Caenorhabditis elegans: one gene and its partner. The protein of the gene in region 1 purifies or fractionates together with the protein of each later gene. This does not show direct contact. Each region holds a gene or a part of one and is shown in the gene's direction. Other genes may lie near its edges.

The links.
Region 2: the proteins of asfl-1 (region 1) and T09D3.3 fractionate together in Caenorhabditis elegans (co-fractionation; one large-scale study listed by BioGRID). This does not show direct contact.

Annotation. Positions count from the first base shown.
Region 1 is NC_003279.8:9,647,828-9,664,807, forward strand, and holds asfl-1 (putative histone chaperone asf-1-like protein), read left to right. Parts: upstream 1-10,446; coding exon 10,447-10,558; intron 10,559-10,601; coding exon 10,602-10,894; intron 10,895-10,973; coding exon of another isoform or gene 10,974-11,201; intron 11,202-11,521; coding exon 11,522-11,692; intron 11,693-11,741; coding exon 11,742-11,892; intron 11,893-11,989; coding exon 11,990-12,000; 3' UTR 12,001-12,253; downstream 12,254-16,980. Other genes in the region: dhs-4 (Short-chain dehydrogenase/reductase 3), read right to left, coding at 1-108, 398-552, 658-753, 799-872, 922-1,039, 1,090-1,359; T05F1.13 (F-box domain-containing protein), read left to right, coding at 2,777-2,850, 3,003-3,109, 3,154-3,310, 3,677-3,986, 4,304-4,596, 4,879-4,987; T05F1.11 (protein-disulfide reductase), read left to right, coding at 5,312-5,365, 5,528-5,694, 5,739-6,186, 6,659-6,850, 6,895-7,097, 7,241-8,207; lab-1 (Long arms of the bivalent protein 1), read right to left, coding at 9,349-9,543, 9,595-9,717, 9,764-9,863, 9,910-9,977; C03D6.9 (Aa_trans domain-containing protein), read right to left, coding at 10,974-11,201; npp-14 (Nuclear pore complex protein 14), read right to left, coding at 12,514-12,915, 12,967-13,571, 13,711-14,809, 14,858-15,674, 15,723-15,840, 15,911-16,856, 16,901-16,980. UniProt on the Caenorhabditis elegans protein: Histone chaperone that facilitates histone deposition and histone exchange and removal during nucleosome assembly and disassembly.
Region 2 is NC_003283.11:5,339,082-5,356,061, reverse strand, and holds T09D3.3 (EB domain-containing protein), read left to right. Parts: upstream 1-6,490; coding exon 6,491-6,571; intron 6,572-6,615; coding exon 6,616-6,748; intron 6,749-7,169; coding exon 7,170-7,741; intron 7,742-7,786; coding exon 7,787-7,889; intron 7,890-7,932; coding exon 7,933-8,104; intron 8,105-8,468; coding exon 8,469-8,595; intron 8,596-8,645; coding exon 8,646-8,699; intron 8,700-8,744; coding exon 8,745-8,838; intron 8,839-8,883; coding exon 8,884-9,437; intron 9,438-9,481; coding exon 9,482-9,568; downstream 9,569-16,980. Other genes in the region: nhr-216 (Nuclear Hormone Receptor family), read left to right, coding at 1-18, 858-977, 1,022-1,117, 1,186-1,286, 1,534-1,652, 1,705-1,856, 1,905-2,000; srd-9 (G_PROTEIN_RECEP_F1_2 domain-containing protein), read right to left, coding at 2,995-3,829, 4,089-4,279; srg-25 (Serpentine receptor class gamma), read left to right, coding at 11,697-11,765, 12,085-12,297, 12,348-12,566, 13,138-13,281, 13,326-13,508, 13,556-13,659, 13,755-13,923; srg-27 (Serpentine receptor class gamma), read right to left, coding at 14,753-14,894, 14,944-15,374, 15,420-15,638, 15,994-16,218.

The DNA of each region.
Region 1 (16,980 bases):
AAATAGAAAGCTCTTGGAGTTACGAGAAACTCTTGTTCCGTTTCAATTGCTTCAAAGATTTTCTGAACAACGTAATCAGTGTCCAGAATTGGGAAAATCCAAGGGAATCTAAATGAAATAGGTTTAACAGACTTTGAGGTAAACAAGGAATTGTTTTGTAGATTTGACTGTGATGAATAGAAATGGAAAAAAAATATTCTGGAAGATAACATTTCCAAAACATCATCGAAAGTTTTAAAACATCATAGAAGGTTTTCAAAGTTTTTGGTATAACTATTTTGAAGGAAAATAGAGTTGTTTTAATATTGTTCCGTTTTGTCACTGATAAACCCAGAAGAAGCTGACAATTATAATCTTTGATTTCTGAACATTATGCATTGTTTGTTTGAAGGCATACCTGGTAGCTGCTCCAGTGGCGTCAAACATCGAAGTATGAACGTAATACGGACAAACAAGTGTTGTCTTCACTCCATTTTTTTCACTTTCCATTATTTCAGCAACTAATGAGTCGTGAAATCCAACTGCTGCGTGTTTTGTAGAAGAGTAATCAGCCTTAAATATAAGAGTTTTTATTTACAAATTCTTTACAAAGAATTTGTTCAAGTATGACAGAACGATGCCAAGAAATGATACTCAAACAAACAAACGATAACTTACTAGACCAGAAGATCCCATTTTACCGGCTGCTGAAGCAATTGTGACAATATGTCCATTATTGTCTTTCAGCATTGCTGGCAGAAATTGTTGAACTGTCTGTATTTATTTAATATTTTAAATTATAACTTTAAATTCACTTACATAAAAATGTGCTTTCACATTCACATCGAACGATCTATTTATCTCATTTTCACTGCTATCCAATATCATTTTTGCTGAAACATAAAAAAATAAAGATTTTATATAATTTTCAATATCTCGCACCTGTTGCAATTCCAGCATTATTCACCAAAATGTCAACTTTTCCTATATCATTTATTACTTGTTGACCAACTTGTGCAATTTTTCCGGGGTCACATAAATTAACCTCATAAGAGTGGGCCTGGAAATGTGAAGAATTTATAAATTGAAAATTTAATATTGATCACATACTTCTCCTTGATTTCCTCTAATCTCGTTTTTCAATTCGTCGACTGATTGAAGATTTATGTCCCAAAGAATCAAAGTGGCTCCTCGAGCAGCAAACTTTTGAGCCAACAGTTTTCCTAGACCATTTCCAGCTCCAGTGATCAAAACTTTCTTACGATATAAATCTTTTTTGGGGAGAAGAGAATAAGGTAGAGCGTATTTGATTAAGGAAATCAAGTTTTGTATAAGAAGATTGAATAGTAAAATGACAATTTCTAGAATAATATCGAACATTTCCAAGGTCTTTGAAATGTAGACCACAATGAGAATACCCCAAATGATTGTCTAAGAGATAGCAAAAGAAAGATAAAAAGGTAATAGAGAGATTATAGATAAAAAGGAATGGTTTATGGGGTAGGAGACACTGGAAATAGACGAATAATGGGTCTCTGATGAGAATACAGTTTTATGCTCGTGCAAACATCATTTCACAGACAATCCTAAGGCTTTCAAGAGGCCTACGTCGAAGTAAATGTCTAGGAACACTTTTTTTACGATGTTCTCAAGTTTATTGTTTGGTCTACAAAAGATCAAAGAACTTGTCAAATAGTGTTCCCCACGCCAATTGTTTGTCGGCAAGTTCAGAGAAAATAGAAAAATGTTATAGTCAAACCTGGAGTATAGTCCACAAAAATTCGTTCTTGACGTTTGTGCATTTATGAAAAAAGAGGTATTGTTCAAGGAATTGGAACCATTTGTTCAAAAATTCTATCCTCTAATGTCCAACTTAACGCAAGAAATTATGTTTACAGATTTACAAAACAAACTCAAATTCGAAATCTTTAAATATTAAAAATAAATCATTGAACATTATTTTTTTGTAGTTTCAACATTTGTTTTTGGAAAAGATGTATTTAGATCAATTTGATAGTGTTTGTAGGTTTCCATTTCTTATCAATTCGTTTTGAAACTGATCAAAGACACCGATGAGTAATCTCTTTTGACATATCCAAACTCTTTTTCCTTTTAAGTTGCACGAGGAAGGAAAAAACTACTTCGGAAAATTTGAGTATAGTGTGGGACTGACAAAATTACCACCAAAAATAGATACCGGGAGGTCAGTTTACAAACCTACAGGAATTTGTGGATATAAAACTGAGTGTGGACAGTGCGACAACTCGTGGAAACCTTCGTGTACATGTCTATCAGTCTATTGGAATGTCAATTAGTTTGGAATGTCTGATCAATATCTGTTCCATTTGTTCAAGGCTTGACTACCAAGTTGAAAGTAATGGCAATTTTCTCTCAAAATTGCACGTTTGATGCCCTTTCATTGAAACGTTATAACGAGAAGAATACATTATAATTTCCTTTATAAAATCTTTAAGTTCTTGCTCTTGACAATCTAAACTTTGAAACTGGATTCTCAGAATCTATTAACTTTCTGTCCTTCAAATAATCAATCAAACATATTTTTTCTTCTCGGAACTCTTATGCAATATGTATCATAACGACTTCCAAACCCCCGGTACAATTTCTCTGGGTCTCTCATTCTTTTCCAATCCCTCGACTCTACACTTCTCTTCTTCTCTTATTTTGTCTCATCTCTCCTGTCTTCTCTGTATTGATTCCTTGCCTTTCTAGCGTTCCGGCTCAAAATCGAAAAATTTTTAATATATTTCTAATCATATACATATTCTTAATTTAAAAAATGGTTTTGGAGCTCGAGCAACTACCAAATGACGTCACTGAACATGTTGCAAAAAATTTAAATCCGCGTGATCTGTAAGTTACTTTAATATTCAGCTCTCTACAGAGTTGCCTACAAATTGTACTATTTTTTATTGTGTTAATTTTTTTAAGGATTTAGTTTACAACACTTGCATCTTACTATCGTAATAAATTAAATTAAATTAAATTAAAATTTATTTTTTCAGAATTGAGCTCTCATTTTGCTCAGAAGCCTGGTTTCATCTCATATCATCATTCAAAACTCGAATCAAAGAGCTTTATATTAATTGCAAAGAACTCGGACGTACTAGTGGTATGAAACTTTTGTTTCCAACTTTAATCAAATTTTTTATTCAGAAAACAATAATCTTGCCAAGGCTTTAATTGGTGTCAAACCCTTTCAAAGAAGCTTTGTTCACATTTTTGTATATCAGAGAACTCTAGAAGAACTCGATGAATTTTCAGGGGATCCGAAGACTTGTTCGAGAGTCTTTGGGGAACGAGAGCTTAAATGGTAAGATTTTCAATTTATTTTCAAAAATTGTGTAGAAACGATTCAAAATTATGTCTATGGTGCTAAATTGATCAAATGGCATAGTAAAATTAATTAAATAAAAAAATTTCTGAACTCGTCCAAAAATTTTTTTTACAGTTTTTTGATTAATTTTAAATAATTTTTACTAGAACATTGTATGGACAGTAAAGCTGGAAAAATATATTTTTTAAACTAGTTTCTCAAAAATTTTGCTTGAAAAAAGCTTGTATATAAAGTCCCTACTGATGAAACTCAGCTTGATTACAAAATGCCAATTTTAACTATAATTAACTGCGGATAATCCATATCAGTATACTCTCTATTTTTAAATTTTGAAATTTACAGTCAAATAGATAAATCCACAATAAAAGTGTTCACAATGGATCCCATCGACACTTTCTACTCAGTAATGGAGCATCTGCTTAACCTGTTCACAGGATCAATTCATCATGTAAACTTTGGTCAATGTACACCAAATATCACTGGGATAATATTGAAGTTATTGAAAATGGAGGGAATTTCTTCATGCAACACATTATCTATCCCATCCGGAGGGGCTATTACTTCAGATCTTTTGGAATATCTCCTACAGAATCCAAATTTGTTCTGTTTAAACATAAATTGTGCAGTTCGAGGATCATTTCAGTTTGTCAAGGTAAATTCAAAATCACTTTGAAATCAAACTATATATAATTTAACTTACTATTAGACTTTCAGACAAATTGAGAAAATATTGTTGAATTGAATAAACTTGAAGTTTCAAAAATTGCAAAATTCCAACTAACCAAAATATTATATGGGAATTTTTCATCCTTTAAACGCCTCACATCCGAACTATTTGACACTTTTTGAGTTTTATAGGTTTTATAAACATTTATTTTAAATTGAAGTTTTGACAAACCCCGTAAATAACTATACAACCATTTCGAAGCTGCAAAGAAAACAAAAAAATCGGAATGAACATTTTTTCAGGAAGTCAACATCACACATCTGAGTCTGACATATCCCGAATGGGTTACCAATCGGAATATTTTGAACTTCCACTGTGAAACTATAAATCTGGAGGATCCAAACATAAATGGCATAGGGCTGAACTCATTTATCAAAACTTGGATGAAAACTGACAAAAAGAAGCTCAAAAGGCTTTCAATTAGTTTTTGCAAAGGATGGAATTGGGAAGATGGAAATAATATTTTCGATGGAATTGAATATGAACTGTTTGATAAGAATTTGAACTCCGGAACACAATTTTATGAGGATGAGGAGTACGTTTTTATTTTTTCATTTTTTTTTAATCTGAAGAAGTGTCGTTTAAATAGATATGCCTGAGATTCTCATCAGAGTTGAATAATGATTTTTAGTTTTAGTTTGTATTGGTTTCAAATGTTCAAAACAATTACTGAATTTTTATTTTATCATATGAAAATATAGTAGTGATTACGGCCGTTATATAGTCACCCAATTATCTAAAAAAAAAATAGGAGAATTGATTATTTCAAAACTAGAATCACTTTTATTATATCTATTTTCAATATATTTTTATTCAGAAAGAAAATAGATTGCCTAAATGGTAGAAATATTAAACGACCTGATGGAACTTTGGCAACTATCAAATGTGATGATCTGCACTTCTATTTTGTGGTTTGGAATTATTAATAGTTCATGAAGAGTTTTGATTTTTGTCTGCTAACTTCACAGTTTCTTGTAAATTTTGTTTTATGTCTCATTCAATTTGTTGTTTTAAATTACAATGTAATTGTTATAAGTTAATAAAATATTTTACATTTTTTTGAGTTTAAAATAAATTGCAACTTTTGATAAACTTTTATCATAGTTTTCTATTTGTTCTGTGTTGGCCTATTAAGACGAAGAGTTGTTTACGATAATTCAACACACATTTTTGTGATAAACCCTCCGGGTTCTGCAACAAACGTTTTTCTGTGTCTTCAATCTTTTTTCCACTTATTTGGTGTTTAAAAAATGAATGATCTGAACAACGGAACACCTCTTAGAATTGTCGAACTTGTGTCTGAGGTAGGCTAGGTTATAAATAGTTGTGTAAATTTTGTGAAATTATTCAATTTTTATTCAAAAAAAAAGAGTTGGAAATGTGTTCTCTTATAGAAAAGCCATGCCTACAAGGTAGGCTTAACATGTCCGGTTGAAGTTCATTAAATAAAATATAGCTTATTTCAGAATGATCATCCACCAGAAAGAGCAAATGATGAGTATGTGCAATTTGCTCAGATTTCTGTAGTCTCTGGAATTCAAGAAGAGCTCATCGAATTGGTAAAGAAAAAGTTATTGGAATCTATTGAACTTCAGCAATTCATTGTTGGTAGAGATATTGAATTTCAGGAAAAGTTAGTGATTGTGCCCATATAAAATACTTTATAACTATTTTCAGGTATATTGCATCACTGACAGATGGTTTGAGTCGATATAACAATCATAATGAATTGGAAGAAATTCGAAATGAGAAGCTAAGTTCAGAGGAAAGGCATTTTGAGTTGGAATCAGCAAGAAACAAATTAAACGGTCTAAGAATTCAAAACTCGAATTTTGGAAGAAGAGAGCAGAAAGTTTGCAGTTTTCTGAGTTCTGGGTTCGAGCAAGTTCGAATTTTAAGTTCAACTGCTGCTCATGATGAAATTCGCTACAAAGTGAATAATGCATCATGGATTTGTTCAATTAACAATTCTCTCGCTTTACAAAAGATTAAATTAATTTGTGAAAAATTTATCGAATTGAAAAAGAAAGTGGAAATAACGTTTTGGTCATCGGAGATTGTAACACTTCTAGAAAAACTTGATCAACAACAGAAGAATGTTGCATTTGGAATGATTATTGAAATTGTTAGTTTTTTTCTCACATTATAAAATAATTTTGATGGGGGAATTGTTAAAATCCAGTCCTTTAACCAAATATCATATTAAAACTATTGAAACAAATGTTTTCTTTTGAAATTTATTGGCAGTCAAAAATGGCAAGTACCAAGTTTTTGCCACTTTCGCCAGTTTTGGAACTCGACCAAAAATGGGTATTTTTCTTTGGTTATTTTATAGTTAACTTATTATTATCTGGACAAATTCATGCTATTCTACTTTTAAATATTACAATATTTTGCCAAAATAAACGAAGTACAAAATATGCGCTACTCGTGCTAGAGCTCGACTAGAACTAGAACCAACTTTTTTGTTCTATACTTTTATCTAGCTAGATATCTAATTGTTTGATATTTTTTCCCAGTTGAAATTGAAAACGCACTTTGAATCATTTATGAATCTTTTTATTTTCATTCCACCTCTACAATCATTTTTATTGCAGGCAACTTGGGAATATGAAAACTCAAACAATCGAAATTTACTAAAACTGATAAACGCTTTGCTTGATAACGATGAAACGAAGAAGGAAGTACTTGTGAATTGCGAAAATTTGTTTTCAGTCGAAACGCCACAAATTGAAAAATGCTTGGCAAATTTGAATATTCTTGTTGCCTTGCTTTTGAATATAAGTCTTGTGAGTCTGGTTCTGTAATGATTATTTTGAAAATACAATTGTAGGAAAATCGGATCTACAAAGAGAAGCTTGAGCAAAGTATTTGTCAATTAATTGCTCGAATTTTTGGGAATAGAAAGTTTAGATCAAGCCACATGATGTCGATTATTGAAGTGCTCGAAACTGTTGAACGAAAATTTGGTCGTTTTTCTGGAAAGTTTGATAACATGCTCTCACTTCTTGAATCGAGATCTCATATGCTTGAGAGGTAAGTACTTCAAAACGGACATATTTAATCTTAGTGATATATCTATTATCCTATTTGAATAGTATTTCTCTTGCTTTTTGAAATAAATACCTCATACCCAACCTGCAAATGAAATGAAGGAAAATCTTGAATTTAATTTTCAGATCAGAGCAACACCGGGTGATAAATTTGATAAGATCCCGTTCTTCACATTCTCCAATTCCTCCAGAAATATTGGCATCTGCATACTCATCTGGTGCAAGTATTCGGAATGTTACCGTAATTGAACACTCACAATCAGCACCAAACTATTTTCCGCATAGAACGAGAGATGAAATTAAACGAGAAGTTCAAATGGAATATGAAAGAAGATGGAGAATAGAAGAGGAAGAAAGATTAGAAGAAATACGAAGAAAAAAGGAAGAAGAAAGAAAAAAGAAAGAAGAAGAGGATGAAAAGAGGAGGAAAGCGGAGGAATCAGAAAGAGTTCGAAAGTTGAAGGAAGAAGAAAAAAGAAAAAGGGTTTTGGAAGAGGAGATGGAAATGAAAAGAAAAAATGAAGAGGCAAAAATTAAATTAGAAGCTGAAATGAGGGAGAAAGCGGAACAAGCTGAAATTAAAAGGCGTGAGGAAAAATCGAGAGCATTAAAAAAATTGCAAAAAGAAGAAACAAACAAAATGGAGCAGATGAACAATTGTACATTTCTCCAAAATGTTCCTCTCTTCAGACATCTACATCCATCAGGATCATATTCTGAACGAATGCTCGATGGAAAGGTTATTGGATTGTATTATTCCGGTTATTGGTGTCAACCATCTCGTGACTTTACACCAATTCTCGCACAATTCTATAGTCAAGTAGATAAGAATTTCGAGATATTATTTATTTCAAGCGACAGGAGTGAACAGGAGATGAATTATTATTTGCAAAGTTCTCATGGCGATTGGTTCCATTTGCCATTCGACTCACCAATAAGCAAGCATTTACAGCAGTTCAACACTAAAAATGCGATTCCAACATTGATAATAATAAAGCCAAACGGAACAGTTATTACTGTTGATGGACGAGATCAAGTGTCTAGTTTTCTCAACAACCCGCAAGCATTGGTTAATCACTGGAAGTCTGTATAATTTCTTTTTTTTTTGTATGTATTTATGTTTTTGGTTAATGTTGTACTTGTTAGTATAAAAATCATTTCATGATATTCGCCGATGATATCAAGCTACTTGGTGACAATGTCAGCGCTATTCAAAAATCAATCAATGTCGTGACCGATTGGTGCGCAAAATGGAAATTGAACCTTGCTGAAAACAAAACCAATGTTATCCACTTTGGAAAGCGGAATCCAAAAAATGAATATTATGCAAACGGAATGAAAGTCACCAAAAAGGACTCAGTGAAAGACCTTGGAATCTTCGTCGACGACAAGCTGAACTTCCAGAAGCACATAAACATCATTTCGAACTTAGCCCTTCTCAAATGCCGGCAGTTACTTCGATCCTTCCGCTCAACAAATGCCAGCCTTTACTTCAAATTGTACAATATCTATGTGCAGCCAATATTAAACTACGGATGTGAAATCTACAACCCGATCTCTAAAAATATGATTAAACAACTGGAGTTCCCACTGAAGTTTTTCTCGAGAAAAGTCTTCCAACGCTGCAATCTATCATACTCATCATATGAAAACCGTCTAGCTCAGATGAACCAAAAGTCAGTTCAACACCTGCGGATTCTTCAAATATTGAGGACCTATCACAACATCCTGTCTGGTGAATACCACTTTCCGAATGCCGCATCAACTGTGAGGAAGGCTCGCTCGCCCAGATATCCGTACATGATGTGCCCTTGTGGATCAATCAACGAAAGCTTCCTACTAGTCAATCTTCACCTATGGAACCGTATGTCCAAGTTACTTCCGGGGACAATGAGCCGTCAAATGTTTGCATCACGATTAAATTCTATCCCGTTTAATTATTTTTCCCACACAACTTGATCCCCTTAACTACTTTTGGTTTACAGGATCATTCAAATTATTCAAGTCTGTTTCTCCCGGTGATTATTCTATACTTTCTGTTTTGTTACGACGATTTGAATAAATATATATATATATATATATTCAATGCTTCGAGAGAATAAATGGGAATCTGAACGAGAAACTAAGATTTCTTATATCACATTAGTATATCACAATATTTAAAACTACATTATTTCTTGAAAAAATTATTCACAGCGTTTTTGAGTTTGAAGTTTTTCGATTAATGGTTAATTTCATGATTGACCAGAACACATCGTTTTATCAGAATCCTCAAAATCCTCATCGAAGTCGGAATCCTCGGATGTATCGGAATCCGAATCATATGGATCAAATGTTTCCTCTTTCTGCATTTTTTCATAATTTTCGTCCAATTCATTCACAGAACTCCCCCAATTTGCTTCATTATTACTGATCGAAGACACAGATTCCTGGAAAAATTCCAGACTTGACATATATTCTAAACAAGTTTTGTCAAATACCTGAGGTTGGTCTTCCTTGAAATCTTCGAACATCGTTCCGGTGGATTCTGCCAACTCATCGGGCACCCAGATCACTTTCTTGCACTCGTCCGTTTCACAATTCTCCATAGTTTCAACAGTAACCTATTAAATGTTAGCTTTGTAGGAAATATAAAATAAAATGAATCACCTGATACACATTGTTCTTTGCATTTCCTTTCAGCACCCACGAGATGTCTTGTCCGTCGTCTTTGCCAATTCCTGTTGCATAACGCTTGAACTCAAACAAGCTAAAAATTACCACTTTTTGAAATATTGGAACTTCTGAATGCTTACCTAAGCCGTTTATGGATTTTCAAGATCCACAATGGGCGAGGACGATCATTTTTCTTATGGCTCACCATTGTTGAATAAAGTCGAGGATCGAGTGAAACGGGAAATTGAGAAAGACAAAATGAAAAATAAATTTTCGCGCATCTTGGAGAGGTCAAAAATTCTAATTTTCGTCCTGACTTGCTCGTTTTAATAATTTCTATAATTTGAAAACAATTAATTTTTTACTAATTCAATGTATTATTTTTCTTTAGTTTTGCCTTTTAAAGCCGAGAAAATAAAGTCAACGTTTTTGCGAATAAAAAACAAAAAAAAAACAGGAATTTGTTTCTCAATGGGTTTCACCACGATTAGCCTTCGTCTGTGCAAAAAAACTACGGTAGTTGGAAAAAGTTTTTCGACATTTTATTTTACTGGATCCAGCTGGAGTTTTCAACCACTTTTTACGGGATTTTTGATTTGTTTCTCGTTTTTAAAAACTATCGTTTGAACAGTTTATGAATCTGCTTTCTAATTTCTAATTTTGAGCTTTTTATTCAGATGGCTTCACGTGTTAACATCGTTCAAGTCCAAATTCTCGATAATCCAGCGATGTTTGTCGACAAGTTCAAAATGGAGATCACTTTTGAAGTTTTTGAGCACTTACCACATGGTATGTATATTATTTACACTGCATAAAAATTAAGAATAATCAGATCTCGAATGGGAATTGGTGTACGTTGGATCTGGAACCTCCCGAGACTTCGACCAAGTTCTCGATTCCGCGCTCGTTGGCCCGATTCCTGAAGGACGTCACAAGTTTGTCTTTGATGCAGAACACCCGGATATCTCAAAGATTCCAGTCGAGGATATTGTTGGTGTCAGTGTGCTTCTCCTTCGTTGCAAGTACAACGATCAGGAGTTCATCAATATGGGATGGTTTGTGGCAAATGAGTACACCGACGAAGAGCTCAAAGAGAATCCGCCTGCAAAGCCGCTCATCGAAAAGGTTCTGTTCTTTTCAGGAAAAAAACACTTTATTTCAAAAGTCATTCACACAAAATTATTTTTGATAAATCAAGCACCAGTTATTGTCTAATGACAGTCCATTCCTGATCGTCAGAACGGTTTTCGTCGAGTCCAATAAAGCCCTCCACCTTACTTCCAACGAAGACGATTGCTCCGGCAATTATAAAACTTGCATAAACAATTCCTCCGATAGCTTTGTCGAAAATGTATGTAGCGCCTCTGTAGTTGCTATTTTTGGTCGCTACACTAGCATGAGTTGAATTATTTTGCGCTGCAGTAGCTTTCATTTTCACAATCTGAAGGAAATAAATAAATATTATTAAACGAGCAATGAAACTAATGAAATAATTAAAAATAAAGAACGAAAAATAGTTGAGAGTGAGACAATGACAATGAGAGAACTGAATACGTTGTGCACGCTACCTGTCGAGCAGATGGACATCATCGATCGGGCTCACGCACACAGATGTACTGTATGGGATGACGTAATAAACCATCTGTTGTGGAAAGAGGGAAAAAGTGAAATGCTCTAAATTAATCTCAAAGTTCCTTCAGTTAAAAAATGTAGATAATTCAGTTTTGACCTTGAATTTTCAAAAATTTTCAGCTTTCCCGTAAAATCGAAACCGAAGATCTTCGCGTCACCACATTCCCAATTCGGTGGACTGATGAGGATCCAGTCGCCGAGCCGGTTGATGAAGAGGCAAACAAAGTATTCGATGAGGATGATCTTATGCCATTGCATGATGATGGGCAGGATGATGACGAGGAGGAAGAGGTGGGTAGAATCTAGCATTATCTGAATATAATAATTTACTGTTATTCAGGACGATGATGAGACGGGTCCCAATACTGAAGAAGTTGACTTGAACGAGAGCTTCAACGAACGAATGGCGAATGCACATGACGGAACGGAGCAAAAGAACGGAGAAGAAAGTATGGAACACGATGGAGCAAGTGGAGATGTTGAAATGGGTGGTAAGTGATACTTTCAATCATAAGTTAGATTGATTTTAATTATTTTTTGTTTTGTCTGTATCTCCCTATGATTGTAGATAATCAACTTTTTGTTCAGATAAACACTGATACGAAAGCTACCGAATCGATGGTCGATCCCCTTTCCGATACAACAAAACGCGATTTCAGATCTGGTTAATTTGTATTTAAATATTGCTTTCTTAACTTGCATTTTTATTCATCTCCGATACTCACTATCAGTTACTGTAAGATTTTTGAATTGCATCTAAAATTACTTCACTTTTTATTCAAAGTGTCATATATGTCAAATTGCCTTTAAAGGAGATTTTAGTTTTCTGAAATGAAGTTGCTTTCCGTTCGTTTTAATCTGTGGATATGTATCATTTTTGAGGAGTGTTTTCGGCTGGCTTTGTTTCCGCCCCTGGAAGTTGAAGGATAGATAATTCTAAAGAAGCTTAATTGACAAAATTTATGAAAATGAATATTCAAAAACACGACAGACAACAAAATAACCGGTCCGAGATAATCAATAAAACAAGTACTTGGGAAAATAATTGGGGAGATGGACTATAAACTACAATTAAAGTTTGATGAATCAATATGTTAGACATTAAAAATATATTATCGCCATGATGTGAAAGATGTCGGTTTATTGGCATTGGCAGATGCTCCTCCTCCAAACACAGAAGATGTCGGAGCTGGAGTTGTGTTAGCTCCACCACCGAAGATAGAAGTATTCGTCTGTGGAGTTGCACCTCCACCGAACAAAGATGAAGTCTTCTGGCCTGATGCAAATTGAGCAAATCCACCAGTGGCAGGGTTGTTGGTTGTGGAAGATGTTGCTCCTCCGAAGATTGAAGCATTTTTAGATAATCCTGCATTCGCCCCTCCTCCGAATGGTTTAGCACCAAATGCTGGTTGCGATCCGAATTTCGGAGCTCCTCCAAAAACTGACGACGTTCCTGTTGCAGGTGCAGATGCTTGTTGAGCTGACGATCCGGCAGTGTTGAAAGAAAACGACGGCTGAAATAGGAAATAAATGCTTACAATACAATGAGACTCTTGAAACGATACTTTTTGCTGTTGCTGTTGTTGTTGATTACCACCACCACCAAAAAGCCATGAACTGCTACTGGCTGATGTCCCAGTTGACGTCTTCGGTGCAAACGGATTATTTCCACCAGAAGTGTTGGATGTTCTCGCATTTCCAAGTCCACTCATAAAACCTCCAGAACCTCCACCATTTGCCATTGAATCGTCTTCCATTCCATCATCCACATTTGGAACTGTAGGCGCAGTCACTGAACCTCCGAAAACGGAGGATGGTTTAGCAGAGGCGCCTGCACCGAAAGATCCAAACCCTGCCGGCTTTGCTGATGCCGACGTTGCTCCAGTATTAAACGAAAAAGTCACAGAAGCAGTAGATGTTGCAGGGTTCGAAGTTTTAGCCGGTTGGCAACCAGCCTGTCCAAAACTTCCAAATGGAGAGCTTGCTGCTTTTGAGCCACCTCCAAAAATACTTGACGTGTTCGATGCAGGTGTAGGGGTGGCCGTTGTTGTGGTTCGAGCTCCAAAAATATTTGTTGAGTTGGAAGAGCTGGGAGTTTGAGTTTTAAGACCACCGCCAAAGATCGATGAGGTGGAGGAAGTCGACTTTGGGGTAGTTGTTGAGTTGAACGCTGAAAGTAATTTTTTTAAATTTCAGTTGATTAAAGTATGGAAACAATACATTTATAATGTTCATATAATTACATCGATTTAATCGAATATCATTCTTTGGTTGAAACTCATTTTTTTAACAACAAAAAAGGAACTTACAAAAACTTGGTGTTTTTTGTATATTACTTCCCGTTTCCTCTTCTTTCACTGGAGTCTGAACAGCTGGTTTTGGCTCCTCTTTCACTTTTGTTTCTAATGATTTAGGCTCTTCAGACTTCAAGTCAGGTGTAACTTCATTTTCAGATTTTTCATCTTTTACTTCTTCAGTTTTATTCAGTGTCTCCACTTTCGAGGATGCTTTTTCGATTTCTTGTGGACTGATGCTCAGGGAACTGTTAATCAAAGAAGGCACTCCAGTTGTTAATGTAGACTCTTCTTTGGAAACTAAAGGTGTTTGTGTTTTTGTTCCAAACAAACTACCCGAAGAGAAAATGGAAGATGATGCTGGCGTAGAAATGATTGGTTTTTGATCTTGTGTTTTATTTGCTTCTTCTTTTGGAACTGTTACTTTTGGTGTCGTCATTGTTGTGGTCGCAGTTGTTGTATTGAGCTTTATCAATGGCGAAGAGACAGCTGGAGCAGAAGCTATTGGCTTTGCTGGTGATTCAACTGTTACCACGACAGTTTTAACAATAGGAGGTTCATCGGCTTGAGTTGCTGCATCTGATTTAGTGGATGGTGTAGATGGAGATGCAGAGAATAGTGAAGAAGATGGCATAACTCGTCTTGGTGTCATACTCAACTTGAGAATTGCATTTGAAAGATTTGAAGTATCGAGCAAATCATTTTTCATTGCTGCCGAATTTTCTGACTTTTTATAAGACTCCACGATGACGTTTCTAGTCTTCACAATTCCTCGTTTTTGAATTTGATTCACAAGTGCTTGTCTTACTTTGATACTTTCTGCATCAGTGAGAGATTTTCCTTGAGGAGCGTCTCCATCTAGACTACTCATCTCCAGTGGTTGCGTGAAGTTCAGATTTTCCTTTCCCTTCTTGAAGTTTTGAAATTTGACGTCCCTTTGGAAACGGACAAATTCTAATTCAGTTCGCTGAATTTGCTCTCGGGTATCCATGATGATTTTTGAGACGTTGCGCATAACTTTAAGAGCCAACTCGGTTTCACTACCGGAGCGAAGTTGATTGAGATTTGAACTGAGACGAAGTGGTGACAATATTGCCTGTTTTCGAAGTGACTCCTGTAAAAATTATATTAAAATAAGTAAAAGTAAAGAAACGATGCAAACCTTCTCAGACAAGCTCATTCTCAGTTTTTTAATCAAATCGCTACATTCTTCATATTTTCCATTTAACAAATCGGCAGCAGTCTCCAGTTTGTTGAATCTCATCAGCTTCTCAGTTTCTGACATATTTCTGAGCTTCTCTAAAACTTGATTGCCATCTTCCACTCCGGCAACTAATTCCATTTTTTCGTCGATTTCAAAATCCATTTCCTTCACCGTGTGTTGTGTTCTGTCAGACATTCGCTCGATCGACAAAATTAGATTTTTCAGTTCGTCCATAACTTCTTTAGAATCTCCTAATGATGCCCTAACCACATCAGCACATTCCATAATTGTAGTTTTCACTTTTCCCACAGCAAATGATAATTTCATCGTAGCATCTTTAGCTCCAGCCATTGAATCATTGATTTTATCCATTCTTTCGATAAGAACCTGCTTTTTGGTTGCAATCAGTTCAGCCTTTTTATGTTCCAAAGTTTTGTCTGAAATTTTCGGAATTGCTTCTGATTTTGGTGTTGACGCAATTTTTGGTTGGGAACTTGGAGCTGCCGGAGTTGATGGCTTGGATTCTGTTAACTGTGATGTCTCAATGTTGCTTGCGATTGATTTAGGGTTAAAAAGTGATGATGAAGGTTTAGGTGTCTGAACAGATGATGGAGATCCAACAAGAGATGATTTTAGAGTTTCAGCTTCTGGTTTTTGCCCAAACACCGTAGACGGTTTTGTAACGGGTGTCTGATCAGAAGGTGGAGCAGATATGGGTTTCTGTGAATCAAATTGGAGCTTCTTTAAGTCATTGATCGCCAAATTTTGACTGGACCTGAAAAAGATAATATTATTATATTCATCAAATTTTATTACTACGTACATTTGACAAGGGATATGAGCTGCAAATGTGCTAATGATGTGATGAGCAGTGAGAATGCCGTCGTTTGTTAAACAAAGTACGAGAGGAGATGGGCGATGTCTCTGAGAGCCGTCAGGATCTGAAAAGAATGAATACATTTGTAGAAAAATAGTTTCGAAATTAATGAAACCGTAAAAAACATAACGTACTGAGTAAAACCTCATCTGTCATTGAACGATCAACCGCAACTCCAATTGGAACTGTATCTTTACCACTAGACGTAGTTGGCAAGTAAATACTTTCTCCTTCAACAGGAACCCATGTTTGCCAGTCATCTCGTTTTCCAACTGTTGATATTTCACTTGTTTTCGAATTTCCGACAATTACAACATTCCAGTCGACAAGAAGTTGAGTAGCTGGGAACAGTTGAGGAGGAAGAGGCCATTTGGAAGAGGAATACGAGAGCTCGTGAAATTGAATCCATTCGGTTGGTTTATCTTTTTTACACCGCATTAGGTAAGCATCTTGATCTGTTCCATTTTCAAGAGATACCAGCCATTCTGTTGTAGCCAACCAACATAAACCAGTAATTCTTCCATAGTTCGGCTTGTTCTCCGGTCCATGCTGACTACGAACAACCTCCAATTCGGGTTTCAACTGCACAATTTTTCCCAGCGAATCTCCAATCGTCAACTGTTTTCCTTTTGGACTCCAACTGATTGCCGTGGTGACAGCACCAAATTTTCCGATTCCAACAAGTTTTTGATTTGCAGGACTTTGAACATTAATCTTGGCGACTAAAATGCTACGATCTGTTGAAGAAGCAGCAAATGTATCTGGGAAAGCAGGATTCCACTCGAGACAACTTCCTTGATTAATTTGTTCAGTTCCAACTCTTGTAGTACACAACGGCTTGAAGGGTTCAATGCTTGAACTTGTACAAATTTTCTTAATATCGAAAACATCGACAGAAACGTCATTGTTTTTAGTATGAAGAACTCCGAGAACTGTTCCATCAGAATTAACTCCCATGTCGTTGATTAAAACGACCCCATGAAGACGAATTGTTTTTATTGGTAGATCCGTAACTTCAACGTTCATATTTTCTCGGGTGATTTTGTAACCAAGAAGACTTTTTGTATGGAAGCATGATAACTGAAAAATAATTTTGAAAACGATTGAACAAGTCATAATTTTACCTGATTAGAATTAACTGTTACAAAGGTAACTCCCAATTGAGATGACGTAGCAACTCGGTTTCGAATGTTTATCTCATTTT
Region 2 (16,980 bases), on another chromosome or scaffold:
TCAGCTAACCAAATAAAGGTGATACGTTCGAAATGTTTAAAATATATTGAAATTGTGGTATTATACGCTGAAAGTCTTACTTGAATTTAAGATTTCAATAATGATTAAACAACTTTTTTTTGGCAAAATCGGTGAAATGTAACAGGGTGGGCGGCAAATTTTTTTGTCGACAAACTTGGCACATCGGCGAATTGCCGGTTTGCCAATTTGACGGAAATTTCCAATTCCGGCAATGTGCCGGTTTGCCTATTTGCCGGAAATTTTTATTTTCGGCAAATTGCCGATTTACCGTTTGCCGAACATCAATTTGCCGGAAGTTTTTAGAGTGATTTTTGTATAAAACGGAAACATTTTAAACTGGGCGTTTTTGAAATTTTTTCCCGTTTTTAAGATATTTTTATAGAACTTGCTCACTTTTCAAAGTAGATGTAGGAACATTCCAATGATGCATACAATTTTGCCGATTAAAATTGAAATTCTGAAATTCCCAAAAAAAATGTGCAAAACCACAGTTTGCCGAAAACTTTCGGCAATTGCTGCTTTACCGGCAAATTCGGCAGATCGACAATTTGCCGGGTTGCCGATTTGACGACAATAGCTTGGCACAACAAAATTTCATGGAAATTACCAAATCTGGATACTCAAAGGCTGGAAAATGTTAAACCCGATCTTTGCTCAGAATGTTAAACGTTCATAGAAATTTTCTGAAATTTCAGAAGAACTTCAAGCCATTTTAAATATGAAAATAAGCTCACAAACATAGTTAATTTGTGATGAGCTCATTGTGCTCACAGAGGGATTATGCGCACATCGGGAAATAACTATTCCAATTTACAGAAATTCATTCTAATTTTCAGTTTTGTGATACAATAAATGCCTTCACCGATGGCAAAGCACATCTTCAACGAAAATCCGAAAAATTCTCAAAATGGGTAAAATGTGTAGACTTTTTCGATAAGTTGTCCGATGAACAAAAAGTGAGATATTATTCTTAAGGTACTAAATTAAACAATTTTTTCAGATTGATACTGTTAAAATGTCGTTTACTGTGTTTGATAGACTTGAACGCGCTCAAATGTCTGTGAAAATTTTTGGCGAGAAGAGTATTACTGAAAAAGTAGGTTTTGATTGACTTAAGTTTGACTTAAGCTTGACTTAAGTTAATAAGGTAAAATTTTTTTCCAGAAAACCACGTTATCTTCTTATTGTGCTGTTGACTGGAAAAATGTCAAAATCAATCCAGAAACTGCAATAAATACTGAACAAGCAAATAATTATGTTAAAGCGTGAGTTTTACAGCATTTTCCCTATTAGACTTTCACCGCCAACGCTCTTCAAAGTCTTATATTTCGGTTCTCTTCAGTTTTACCAAAACATGTTCTACTGTCGAAATCTAGAAAAATTTTTTGCACGTATTTTGTTAGTTGGCAATTTTTTGCTAAAACCCAATAGAAACTATATATCAACGGTCAAAGTACATCATGTGTAATTGGGAAAATACTGTATTCATTTCTTAATGAACAATTTTTAAAGTGAATTCCACGCTCATGTTGATTCAATTATTGATGAAGTATGCAAACCACTTTATGAACTTCAACTTTCTGACACTGAAACTGCATTCATTTTGGTACAAGTTCTTGTTTATCACGGAGGTTTGTTCCCTTATAGAACCAATGTTCAACCCTTTATGTAATTTGTCTTCAGGTGAAAAAGTGACTCCTGAATTAGTGAAAATGTTCGATCAACTTCGTGAGACTATTGCCACAGATCTTCATCTTTATTATACAAAAGAATCTCAAACAGGAACTGATACAAATCGAATACTCAAAATGATGAGCGTTGTAAACGCTATGAAAGTATGCTGACCTTAATAAACTTTTAGTCATATACTATAAAATTTTCAGAAAATTCACGCAGATCGTGTCAGGAAAAGTGATTTAATACAAATATTCAATATTTATAAAGTATCTGAAAAACGAACCGATTTTAATTGTAGCTAATTTTTCTTTTTTTTTGTATTTTTTGAATATATACTGTGTTTTTGTGTTTTCTTTTGGTGTGTTCTTTTTTTTCTTTTTTTTTTGCAATTTCCCAACAATTCATTTTTCTCATACCATAAAACGTTGTACTATTAATTTTTTTTGTTAATTCGAAGCTCAAAATTTGAGTTCAAGTTAAAAAAAAAACTTCATGTAGAAATTTTCAAGTGATCTTCAGAAAAGGCGTTTGTGGTCGGTTAGAAATATATTCATGGCAAATACTCATTGACTCCAAAATCATTGACTACCTGTTCTCATTGTCTACCCTTGCTCATTGACTACCCTTGCTCTTTGTCTATCTCTTTCTCATTGACTACCTGTGCTCATTGCCTTCCTGTTCTCATTGCCTACTTGTTGCTCGTTGACTACCTTTTCTCATTGCCTACTCTTTCTCATTGCCTATCTTTTGCTCATTGTCTACTCGTTTTCTACATCAGTCAAGAGGCACGTACAAGGACCGTATTTCAAGAATACATCAAAGGCACATATACTCAATTTGTTCATTTCTTCAAAGGGTATACATATTTACAATCTTTCAATCTGTACACAACGTTTCGGGCAACAATTAGTAGTAGCTGAGTCATGTTTTAATTTATATTAATTTTGATAGGACACGAAAAGGCTGCCGTAGTATCAGACGTGTCAGACAAGGATGCACTGGAGTTGATGGTGGCTTTCGATCTAAAAATGAAATAACCTTCAAAACTCTCTGAACTGAGTATTTTCAAACTGGCGTATCTCAAAAAATACACATCTGGAAAACAAATGACCAACTAACAAAATGATCAGAAATATAGTAAAGGGTCTTTTGAGACCCAATTAACATATAGTACTACGTATTTACTTTTTATGCAATGCAGCGCTTTCATAAAAATAATTGTTGACTGACTTTTTACAAACAATCGTTATTTTATATTAACTTTATTTGTCTCAAAATTAACAAACTTTCAAATTTTTAAGAATTGTTGGGAACACTTAATCGATGTAACCTCCCCATGCTAAGTACAGAAATTTTATGTTTAGCAGCGAGAGCAACTGCAGAAGAAGCCGGTTCAATTTGTGGAATAGGAATGGTTACTCTTGTAAAGATACGCAAGATTTCCCGGCGATAGGGTCGGATATGGTAAAGTGAAATAATAGATGATAAAAGTGGGATTGGAGCAGGAATTGCACATATCAGACATTCAAAAATTGGGTGGGTAATCAGCCGGATTGCTTGGATAAAAAAGCAGAATACTCCGCCAACAAATAAAACTGGAAGACAAGCTTGCAGCGTCAATGCTCTCAACAGTTGCTTGTGGATGGATTTTGTTTCAGAACGTAAATTCTCGGTGTTTTTCCCGAGACGGCAAAGAATTTTCCTTCGAAATACAAGGATTGCAGTGTAAATCGCAAAAACTGGAACTGTCATGTTTAGGATTGAAAATGTAGCAGCTGGAGATAATGCATCGGATATTCCCGTAACAGTTGAAATTTCAAATGTATAATCTGGGAACTTTGATTTCAACATTCCAAAAATCAAATAAGGATCCGCGGCGGTGAACATTAGCACAATGAACTGAGTGAATGATGGAATGTATATAAAAACACTGAACATGAATACTTTCCACGTAGATGGGGGAGCAGATGAGAGTATATAGTTACGATATGCAAATGATAAGAGTAGTGACCACATTGAATGTATGAATAAATGAAGAAGTGCACTCCAGGATGCGTAACATAAAAATGGATGTCCAAAGTGACAAAGCCCATAAAATATATGGGCCATGGCATAGTCGAGTGGTATGATTCTGAAAATTTATTCACTTGGCTTTAAGGGGTTTCTAGATTTTCTTGAAATTTTCAAAAAAAAAAATATTTAAACTAATTCAAAGTTTAAGTTTGCAAAGTTATCCCGGTTTAGGGCACAGACTTCGGATTTTCTCTTATCCGGACGTTCTGCCCGCTGTCAAAACCGGACGGTTTTCGGAAAAAACTAGTTCTCTCGATTTGCCACCCTTGTCGAGATTTATGTTTTTCTGCATGAAGTTGTAAAAAACTAGGTCTTACCTTGGTGCACAGAACATCATTAGAAATGAGGAAAACATATCCGTGAGTGCAAAGTTGATGATTAGAATTCGGTAGGTTTTGATTTGAGACGGAGATCGGAATATTGCTAAAAGCAAAAGAAGACCATTCAGGACTATTCCGAATGCTCCAAGGATGGCATAGTAAATCATCAGAACGATAACTTCAATCATCCTGAAAATGTTCAATGTTTAGTGTGAACCTTGTTAGAATGAAACAAAAGACGTAAACAAAGAAAAAAGGAAACGAAATGGATAAATGCAGTAGCGTGAGACGAAAAACAACGTGTTTGGCACATTGTACCCTTCATTCTTTAATTTGAACTTTGTTCCCAAAATTTTGCGAAACAAAATTTCAACTCACGTGGTCGCCCGTGGTCAAGCGTGTATCAGAAATGGTCATTCTTCTGACGATGTATCAGAAATGGTCATTCTTCTGACAATTGGCAACCGACTTGTCTCCGAGAGAACTGCAAATCACTCAGCAATCTGGACACATCAAATTGCTGAACAATTCCGGGAGACGTATTGTGTTTGGAGTGAGCACGGCGCTTAAAAAAGCAACAAGTACTCCGACAGGAGTTCTGGATCCAAATGAAGCGGCTCTTTTCACAGTGAAGTGTGATGGAAAGGATGTAAGTGGGGAAAGGCATGAGCGCAAGGGTGGTTGAGTTTTCGGCAATTAGAAGATTTGCCAAAAAAGGAGAATTGTAGTATAAAACTTTAACTTTCTATACATTTCGGAGCGTAGAAATGTATTCCGTTGAAAAATTTTAATTTTTCAAATTAAAACTGCCCAAAACTCAAAAAAGAAAATTGTCGAAATTGCCGAAAATTCAAAACCCGGCAATATGGGCCTACGTGGAAATATCTCCCACTTTTTATCGATCAAGAAGGAAGTTGATGTTTTAAATTTTAAATTTCAAAATTTATTTTAAAATCGTTGTGAAACGTATGACTATGCAAGCTTACCCGATTGATAAAAAGTTGGAAGCAATTACACGTAGCCGCAATGTTTCATTTATTAAAATTTTCAAAATTTTCAGCAAAACGACCGTATCACTATCATCTACACAAATCCTCCAGATGGAACCGACAAGCAGTATCGATCCGAATACTTTCTCCGTGAAGACGCTCTGATCGTCAGAAAGAATCTCTCGACACGCTTTGAGAAGATTACAGCTGTACTTGCAAAATTCGAAAAGGCTAATTAGTTTGTAAATGATATTTTTGCTTAAAAATAAAGTCTGTGTCTTGATTCCGAAACAAAAATGAAAAGAATGACAATGTTTGCAATTCTTTTGGAATTTTTTCGTCAGCGGATTGTGCAGCAGCACGTGGTGATCGTGAGAATGCTTGATCACTTTTAGCTGTGGTCAAGAATGTGTAAACTGGGAACATCGAACACATACTAGAATTTAGTCGACTATGAAATCAAGAGAATATATTTAGATTTTTTTCAAAGATTAAAAAAGGTTTAAAAAAACTTTTTTTTTTCAAGATTTTATGAATCACTTTTCAATCATACTCGGAAGTTAGTCATGTTTTTGTCCCGTTGCGTTTTTGAAAAACTGGAATCTGGAAAACTTAGATTATTGGAGGAAAAGTTACACAAGAGGGTATTTTTTCGAATAATCAAAATATGACAATATATAATAAAAGTTGAAATTTTTGGAAATTTTTGGAAATGTCAAAGTTTCGGTTAATTTGAACAAACATTATGTTTAGAAGTTAAAACATTTTTTTTTTAATTTCAAAAACAAACATGAAAAAAGGTTGAATTCCGGCATTAATGAATTCTCTAGTTTTTGGCATTTTTGCATTTTACCTTATATTAATTGGTTTTTGTTTATGTTATCTTTGATTTTTGATTTGAAAAACATAAATTGACAAGGTTTTATAATTTTTTCCGCAAAAAAAGATCAAATTAATAAATAAATTAACATAGTCAGAAAATGCAATAATTTTAAAACCCCTAGGTTATTCATTTGCACGAGAGTTCTAAATTGATTCAGTCTTTTTATTTATCGCAAAATTGAAAATAAAATTAGAAAAATGCTATACATTAGGGTGATACGGTTAGATTTGGTACAATGATTCTGTCATTTAGGGCAAAAAATCCATAGGTGCTACTCCACCTTCATATTCCCAAAATTCAATAATTATTCAACCTTTTCCAAATATCTCTACCTCGATCATGTAATAAGATAAATCGTAATGATTACGCAAATCCAAATACAAACATTAAAGGAGACGCACGCATATTCTGTCATTCATTAGATAATTTGGAGAGAGGCGAAAAGATATTTGAACAAATAATAAATGAATGTGTCAAAAGTTGAACGGGCACATTTTGATATTCAACGTTTTCCAAATCAGTGAATTATGAGCTTTATCAGTGCGACTAAATTCGTAATATTTTTTGCTGCTTCAATAAATGCACAAAAAGTTGAACAAGATCATTCGGTTCGTTTTTTTAAAATTTTATTGTGTTCACAGGAAATTTTCAGGTAGTAAATAGAGTTTCAAATATTGCGGAAAAATACAGTAATTGGGCTCTAGGAAAATCAGATTATCGAAATGGAAATTTGAATAATTTTCAAGTCACTCAAGTTCAAAGTCCTCCAAGAAACTACAATACAGGTGAGGGTTTCAGATAACTTTTGTAACTATTTTAAAACTCACTAGTTTGTAGTCAAATCTAGTAGCTTGCCTTTTTTTAACTTTTTAGAGATTGAATAGTGTTTTTAACTCAACACTTTTGCTTTTGAAGTTTAGTTATAAACTAGGCAAGACCTAGTTTAAGCTTTGCCCAAATTTAAATGTTGAACAAACTTCTCTCGTGTGGTTTTAAACTTGCCAAAATATTGCTCAACTCTTTCTTACCTGTTGCCTAAGCTTTGCCTAAGTTTGGCCACCTGTTGAACTAGCTAATATTTTTTTGACAAAACTTGGCCAAGAATCTAAATATTGGAAAATACCTAGCAGTTGTAGGAGATTATTTTTAAAAAATTTTCTGATTTATCACATCAGTTTCAAAAACTATACCTATTTTGAATTTCAGCTCCAGTAAAACGATTTTTTCATCAAGTCCGAATCCAGCCGCCTCTTATCATCAAACCTGTAACTTATTCGGAAACATCTTATCAACCAATTGACATCTACTCAACTACACAAACTCCAATCCTGACAACTCCACCATATCCTTCTCGGATTTCTCATTTTCCAACTGAAAATCGTCAAATCTTCCGATCTCCAGTACGACAACATTACCAGCCATCTCCAAATTTTCCAAGACTTTTGGAAACTGAAGTACCAGTTTCTCAGTCATCTCCGATGTTTACTTCAAATTCTTCATTACTCCCACCACATATGTCTCAAAACTTTGGCTCTTCAATATTAACACAACTTCTTAACCCAATTCTACAAGAACCTAATATTCCAACAGCGCCTCCAAATTTACAAATATCACCTCAAATGCACATTAATCCAAATTTCCCGACATTAGTTCCATTACCAATTCCTCAACCGGTAGTTCTTGAACCGACTAAAGAAGAAGTGATGAAAATTGCATCGAAGAAGAATCTATACGGAATGCCAAGATTTCCAATCGAACCTCACCGTGGATTTTTTCAGGTTTGATATATATTTATTAAAACTTCAAACATCTAAAACCGTTAGGCATCAATGAGCTGCATGGATGGCTGGTGTGGAAATGAATGCTGTGAACCGAGGAGACCATTTGCAGCACCTACCACTACGATCCAAGCAAGCGTGCTACCAGGTACAGTAGAAGGGGTAAAAAAATAATAAATTTTTTTTTTCAGGCTCACCAAGCCCACCGCATCCCCTGGTTTTAGTTGTACATCCCGCACCACAGGCACAATGCTCTCCGGCCTGCCAACCTCATTGTAGTCAGCAATGTGTTGCTAGACTTCAATATATGCATGAGTCACAGTTCTACAACCACATTTTGGAGCCAAGTTGCCGTCCAGATTGGTATGATTTTTTATGTAACTGAAAATTTCTTCCATATAGGCGCCAAAATGCGTGCCTTGCAGATCTTCTGCTAAAACACATATTTAAGAACTTTTTTCATCTCGTTATTTGACTTTCATTAAATTGATTGCTATCAGAAAGTTAGTACTTTAGTAAATTTAGTAAATTTTTAAGTAAATTTATGTCAAATTGAAGGAAAAAGGTCGGCAGGTCTCAGGCAGGTAAATAAAGGCATTTAGCTCAGCCAACCTCCTAAATTCGTACAATCCCATAAAATTTTTTTCGAATTTTCAAAACGTCTAAATATAAAATTCGAAAAAAATTTAATTGAATATTTTCATTTAATCAATAATTTATGTTCCAGTATGCCATCCTGCCACGTCGATTGCCTCATAATTCCTCCACAGCAAGTCCGATGCAATAGCTTCAATTGTCAGTGTTTGGCTGGCTACGTGCAATGTGCCGCATTTACTTGTTGCATGAGATACCCGGTGAGAATATCCGTTTGGGAAAATCCAAACAACATGTATTTTCCTTCCAGAATCTGGCTGCAAGAATGAAATCCAACGTGATGGCAAAGTCATCTGAAGAAGAGGTGAGATGGAGGAAAGAGTGTAGTGCCAAAATTGAATATTTTTAGGCAAACGTTAGCGAGGAGGGGAAACAAGATAATGAGATCAGCTATCGAAGAATGTATACGCCTAATAGAATGAGGGCTGGAAAGGGGAAATACGGTTGGGAATATCAAGGGGACATCATCTCGAATCAATTGTTTTCAGACATTGAGAATGTGACATCACCACCAGTTATTAGACCTTCTTATTGGACAAAACATCGAGTGAAGTCAACGAAAGAACCAAAAACTACAATATTCACAACAACTCCAGTGCCATGCCCCACGACCACATCTACGACAACAAGTGCAACTACACTAGTTCCAACCACATCTAGTTCTACAACTACTACAACAACTACTACACCAGTACCCGTTACATCTACAACAACTGAACCTACTACGACAACATATACAACTTCAACTAGTACTAGCACCACAACTACACTTCCACCGACAACATCCACCCCAAAAATTGTGGTTAACCTAACTCCTATCTATCCGGATATGTTAATGAAAGCAAACAAAGTTCCAATGATACCAGCCTACGGAATTTGGACAATTCCGCCCCATGTACCACCCTCTTCAAAAGAATTTGATAACCCATTGAGTGGAATAAAAACCTCGCCAACTGAAAAGCGGAATTCTATTGGTGATATTCGCGGGAGACATGTTATCCGGTCTGAAAACTTTTTGGATGTTCTCAGTGAGCTGGCGCAGGTTTGAAATTCACTTCATGTATCTATCCTACATACAATTTTTAGGTGAAGCTTAAAGAGGATATAACGGATGACTTTTCACATGCAGCAAATTTCATCGATTTTATGACGGACAGATTTAGCAAAATTTAGGAAAATTTTATAGCTGGATATTGAACTATTGGACTGAATTTATGTATTTGTACAAATAAAATATTTCTGAAAATCCGAGAGATTTTATCATGAACATTTTCACATTCTAATGTTCTAGAAAATGGAGTGCGGGATTTTTTTTCACCATTTTTTTGGTTTCTTCACTGATAAAATCAAAAGAATTGTTGTTGTTGTTGTTGTATCTGATCTTAGAAACTTTAAAAAAAAGTATTATTAATTATTTGTTTACAGTTTGGTCATTCAAAAAATGTCATTTTTCAGCTATATAAACATTTTTAAAGCCTTCAGAATTTTAAAAATATAAATCAACAGAGTTTAAACTGATAGAGGTGGAGTAGCGCCAGTGGGGAGAAAACCAAAACGACCGAATCTCATAATAAAACACTCCAAAGTTTTAGATTTTTCATAATTTTCGGCCAAGTTTTGGATGTTTGCCAAAATTTTGAAAAATATGAGCTTTTGATGAGATCCAAAGCACTTTCGCTTATTTCGACCCTTACAATGTTATTTTATAAATAATTAAAATAAAATTAAAATATAAAACATGTTGGAACATTTTTTTTTTGGTCGACTTCCAAAAATATGAGTGGCAAAAACTGGGCAATTGTCACTTTTTGACAGTAAATAAAAAAGTTTCCAAACATTTTTGAAAAGTTTTATTGTGATATTCGGTCATTTTGGCACCATAGGAGTAGTTTTTACACTTTCCCCACTGGCGCAACTTTTTATTGCATTTACTACACTCGCAAGGAGTTACTATAATTTTAACTAATCCTTCATTCAAAGATCTCAGTGGTCTAGAAAAGTGCTTTCTACAATAGTTATCATGAAAATTACATACGTGCCGGACGTTAATCAATCAATCATGTTTGCCTTATTACATCCATCACATAAATTACAAATTAGACACGCAACTTGTTTTTTTTTTCAGAACTCTTTGATCAGTCCTCGGGAAACACCTGCATCATTTAATCTTTTTTGATTTCCTTATTTCAATAGATCACGAATAAGTTGATTCCAGGAAATCACTTTGATGTAGGTGCACAATCTGATCCCGGTGTTTTATTTTTGTTAAGGTTCAAATGATCATCCTGTGTTATTTATTGGTGACAAGACTAGTCATGCAGGATTTTTAAAACGTGGGAAATTGTTATTCGGATGTTGTCTAACTAGGTAAGTTTTTTGAGAACAAAAAGTAAGTTACGCTGGAACAAAAAAAATATATTGAGTTAAGTCAGGAACATGTGTTAGGCTTTTTGGAAATTCAATTATGGGTGATGGGTGGCGATAAGAACAACGTTTTCTGGTACTCCATGCGTTCTGAAAACTGATGTTTCTTCAAGTTTTTTTTAAAGCTTTGTTTGGATATTTTAAAACCCGTTTTGTAGTTTCAGGTGGAATTTCAAATCACTTTGTAAATGTTATTAGTTAGGCGCGTATAAACTTTTTTTCATAATTTACACCTGTTACGTAACCAAACTGAATGGAACATTTTTCGGACAAGTTTTTGAAGTTACTAGAAAGTTATGCATATGAAAAGTATTCCTCCAGTCATCGTTCGAACGATTTGATGACGTAGAAAGCTAAAATTCAGCTGTTTAGAAGGTAGTATTTTTAATTGATTTAGGCTTGTTGATGTGATTATCCTTTTCGTGGGTGTTCAAAAAGTTTTTTCTCATTATTAAATATCGTATTTGTAACATTATTAAGTAAAATTTGAAAAGTTTCAAACAACGTTTAGAGTTCGACCTGTAAATATTATATAATATGTAATTTTGAAAATATTTATAAAATGAAATTAGAATTATAAAAATACAAAAATAAAGAGTTTTTAAATAGCTGTGGTGTAAGTCTATCTCGACAATCTATCTCAAATACTCAGCTACAGATTTTAAAAAAATCAAATATAAACAATCTCAAATGGTAAAAGATACCCATTTAGACCTTGAAAGCTTCTCCGTTACGTAACTCCAAATGTTTTTTATTCAAGAAAAACAATAAAAAATTTCAAATTACAGCTTCGCATCTGCAATTATCCCTTATTCTCGGGTTCAGGTACCTGACCATTTTCTACTTAAATACTTTTGTCTTCTATTCATATTGATTGATGCTACTGTTTATAATATTATTCATTATGAACAAAACTTCAATAATTTCCTTCGACTATCTTGAAGAGGTAAGTAGAAGCATAGTGTTTTTTTTTTCAATTTCCGGTGGCATGTATACTATTTTACATATTTTTCCTATTTCCGTAGTGCAACTGATGTAAAAAGCACAAAAAAGTAGCAAGTTTGATCATTTGGGTGTGGGAACAATGACCAACTCTCACTATCAGTGAATATGAGCAAGACTCAGTGTCCGATTTTGATCTGAAAGAGAAAATGTGACTTTTGGCTTTTTTCACATCGCTACACTTGCATTGTCTCTTTCTGTCAATATTTTTTTCGATTTTTTTTTGGTGTGTCAGTTAATTATAGAACCACAACTCATTACAGATGGAAGAACTACCAGATCCTGCAATAAGAACTTGTAACTATCAATTTAATACTGTAAGTACTCAAGTTGTTATGTACGTTCTACAAGTCGGATATGCCCTCCCTGTATCTATTCTGTACCTTTTCGTAATTCTGAAAATTCTTAGAGCTCACAAGTCAGAGCAGATGTTTTCAGATGCATATTTCAAAATTTATGTTCTCGATGGAGTTGTGGTGGGTTTTCATTTGGAAGGACCTTCTTGGACCTGAACTTTTACGTTTAGAGCTTGATAGTAGTTATCTTGGACTACGGTCTGACTCGTCCATTGATATATATTAATCCTTTATGCTTTTTATTCTGGAATTGGTTTCCGGAGCCAACATACATTTTGACGCCGTATTTGTTTGGATTCAACTATTTTCAATTCGCAAAAATCTTCTCCATATCGCTATTGTCGGCTAACAGATTCACTTGTGTTGCGTACCCAATATGGCATAAAGTGGTAAGACCTATGTAACTGAAAATAGCGTTAGTATGTATTAGTTTTATTTCGATTTTAGCTTTTCGTATTTTTTGGTTAGTCTTGTGCTTTACTTTAACAGCTTATTTATCGGATGACTTTGGCTTTATCAAAAAATTTCAACATGGAAAATATGAAAAAACGTATTTAGCTGTTGAAAAGGTTTTGATAAATTACAAAGAAAAATAATAATAAAAAAATGGTTTTGCTTTCTACGAATTTAATTCAAAAACATTGTTAATGAAATATTAGTTCGTAGAACTGTGGAGCGACTTTCCGATAATGATGCCGTTGACTTAATTTATTTAATTCCTCATTTGAAATACGGAATTGAAATCTTCATTTGTTATTAGTACGTAACACATTTCCATATTAAATTTAGCTTTAAAAAACAAGAACTCATTAGTGCCATTTTCTAAGAATACCTGTCTGTTTGTAATCACTAAAATCAAAAATTAAAGATTGGAATCAAACACATCTCTTTACAGGTTTTTGGTTTAACTCAAAAACGGTTTGGTAGATCAAAAAATGCATTGAAATTTTGAATTTACAGTTTTGGAAAAAGCACACCAATAACGTCATTATTGTTTCTCTGATATGCCCTGCACTTTTCACGTGGCAACTTGCAATCTCACCGACTCGATTTGATCCTTACGTTGGCGAGGGAATCTTGGGATATGTGAAAGTTGTACCTTTTGTAAGTCACGTCACTTATTTCCCAATAGAACGAAGATCCTTAAGGTGCGGACAACATTTTTCAAACTAATTGTCAGTCTTTCTGCATTTATTTTTATGTTGATAACAAATATCAAAACATATCAACTCACAAAAAAGTTCAAGAATAAATTGAAAAGTTTGGAGTTATCTCTGACATTGGCAACTGTCGTTATCAGCGCAGTTTTTGTAATTTATATTATTATTCAAGTAATTTTTTGAATTTTACATTACTACAGTTTATTTTAATTTTACAGGCGGTTTTGCTGATTTTTTCCACTTCGTTTCTCGTTGAAAATTTGTCCTTTGGTAGTACTTTAAAGAAAATAGAGTTCATCTGCAACGATTTTTACCTAATGAGGTATGTTTCATCAAAGATTTTAATTTGCAGAATTTTAAAAAGTCACATGACATAGTTGACGCCAAGCTCACAACAAACATCACTTTCAATTTCAGCTCTCCAATAGTTCTTATTATAATGAACAAACGACTACGAGGTTCTCTATTCAAGGTGGCTCCTGGAATGACACAAAACTCATCAGCGCCTAGAATGTCTACAACAAATGAAAATACTGTTAGGATTATTGTAAAATCACCACCAGCTAAAACCATTACAATGTGGTAATTGAAATTTGTTTTTTTTTTGTTTAGTAAATAGTTTTTTGTCGTATTTTCCTGTCAAAGAAAGTCTTCTTCTTATGTCCAGGCTTCTTATTGAAGCCAATATTACTGTACAAAAGATTGGTAAAAAAATGTGTTTGGGTAAAAAAAAAATTTTGTTCGGAAATTTTTCAGGCAAGTTTTCAAGCTCTGTAGGTATTTGGAAAAATGTTTTGGAAATTGAAACAATGTGGAAACTATTGAAAAATTAAGCAGATATTTAAATACTCATTGAAACATAAAAATAAAACTGGAAAATACCATTTACACACGTAAAAATATTTCGATTGTTCGAAATGTAGGAATCGATTCCAAAAAGGAAGAGTACAAGCCAAATACAAAAACTTAATTTTTTTGGAATTTACTTCAAACAAACTTTTTCGCCCAAAATTAAGATGGTTTGTGACCTTATTAACAACCCGATGTATTTTAAAGAAATATTTTTGTTGAGAAAAATTATTTTTCGAAAATATTTTTCAGAATATTTTCGAAAGCAGAACGTGCCTTTAAAGTACCAAAAAAATGCTCTGAAAAAAAATTTAAAGATCGAATTTTTTTTGCTCAAAGAAGACCTTCGCTGCTAAATTTCTCATATTACTAAAAAAATTATCTTTCAAGCGGAATAAGTTTTATTTGAAAAAAAATGTGAGTCAGTTTGTGAGCTGAAATACTTCCTTTCTATTATAAATAAATATAAACATTTTAATGAGTTGGTTGTAGTATGAAAGGCGCTCGGAGTACGTTGAATCTAAAAATATATTTCTCAAATTAAAAGTTTGAAAAAAGTACAAACCTCAAAACATATGGGTCTCGGTTATGGTGTGTGGTTTTGCAGAAATCTCGATAATTTTTTTACTGGAGTTTGAATGTCGAAGGGAGCAGTGTAGAATTGATTTTCTGATTTTCTTATCAAGAATCAGCAACACCACGGGTCCACTGAAAATAAAAAAAAATTAAACCATCAAAAGCGGATAATTTCACTCACCTTAGCATGTAAAAATCATTAACAAATTGTGTAGCACCCAATAAAAATGTGCCCATCCATGGATTTTGTACCATGGAATCCAGTGGAACAAATAGTTGCATCACTTGTACAACTAACATCAGTGCAAAACCAATTGAAACAAATATTGTAGCAATAGTCAGTGAAACCTCGACTCTTCTCATATGTCTTCCAAGTTTTGACAGTTTGCAAGAAGTCACAATACTAGAAAAAATAGTGAAAAACAGTGTTGAACCTCCAATTAAAATCCGTCCGTATGAAGTATGCGCCCACGAAAATCGATGTTCGTACATTATCAGTCCTTGCCCTTTGTATGGTTGAAAATTGGTTTTTGCTATTCCAACAGGCCAAACAAATAATAATGGAACAGCTAGAACGGCGAATATTACTTTCGAAAAGTTATTGCTCCACATCTAAAAATTCAGGTTACCCGTTCAGTGATAAATGTAATTTTCTACCGGTTTATGCGCCAATGGGTACATTATAGAAGTGTATCTGTTGATACTCATTGTTAATGTTGATAACATTTTCGATAGTTGTAGATACATGTATAATGTGAAATATGGTGTTAAGTAGTAAGAAGGATCTTTGAAGTTTGATAGGAAGTATTCACACGTAGGTCGTACATAAGTGGTTTGACGAATTAAAGAGATATCGAGAAGCAAAAATATAAGAGTCTGAAACTAAATTTTTTCGTTACTTTTTCCCAATTAATATGATTATCAAGTGGTATTATTATTTGAAAAAAATAATTTAAAAATACAGAAAACATAAAATTATGCTGCACCTGAAAGGTGACACATTTTTTTCCCAATTATCTTGTTTCCTTTCGGTTTTCCAGTGAGTATATTCCTATTTACCTTTTATTTCATACAAGGAACATAATTTTTAGTTCTTTTGCTAGAGAGACCCAAAAACTTTTTAGATTTTCCGGTATGACCAAAAAATTTTACAAAAAAATTTTTATGGGGCTCCAAGAAGAGCGAAAATAACTGATAGTTTTCGTAGTTTATCAAAACTCTGAAAACTTACAACTGCTCCATCAACCAGATGAAGGGCGAAAAACGAGTCTTCAAAAACTTCATGATGACCTCTTCTTTTGACAATTGCAATCATAAAAGATAAATACAATAGTCCAAATGGCATTAAATAAGATAATTGTAAGCCAAATTTTACGTATTGGGAGAAATCGGAGTCCCCGGAATCACAGCTTATTTTATCCCGAAGATAATCAATAGCATCGTCGATTTCAACCATCATGAGAATATAATGGTTGAGTTTTTGAAAATGATTTTTGAATGTACAATATGCGAGCCGAGTGGGAGTTTTTAAAAGTTTCAAACCTGTTCAGTGATCCGTGAGTTGTAGATCTTGTTATGGCACGTATCACCAATGATTAATTAGTGAATGGTTACAATGCTTTCATATCAATAGCGGAGGTGTATTTTTAATAAATTGGATTTTTTTAAAAATTTGTAATAATAACTCAAACTTTCGTGAAAAGCAAATGTGCCTGACCTGACTGTTTGCCATAAAAGCCGCCTGTTCCTAAATTGATTGGTGGAATAACTATTCTATGTTTCTTACAGTAAAACCATCAACGACGTGTAATGTGAAAAATGAGTCCTGCAGAATTGCTCTGTCTTTCCTCTTTTTTATAATACCGTATAAAAATGAATGCCAAAAGGAATTACATATGATAATTGAATACCATATTTTAGATATTGATATAAAATATTTTCACCAGAATCACAACTAGAAATATTTCGAAGAACGTCATTAGTAAGTTTTCTGGGTTTGTCATATCTCCAGCTTCCATTACGTTTTGAGTGAGGCTAGGAGAATGGTCAATTCGATTCAGTTCGATGAACCAGCACTGTGCTTGTTTTTTGAATTATTACGTGAAATTTGTGAAGGTGCACAAATATATTTGATATTCCATTCTTAATTTGTAGTTTGATTTTGTAGTTTTTTCAAAGTAAAATTTTCAATTTCAACGCGTCAAAGTCTTGATTTTAT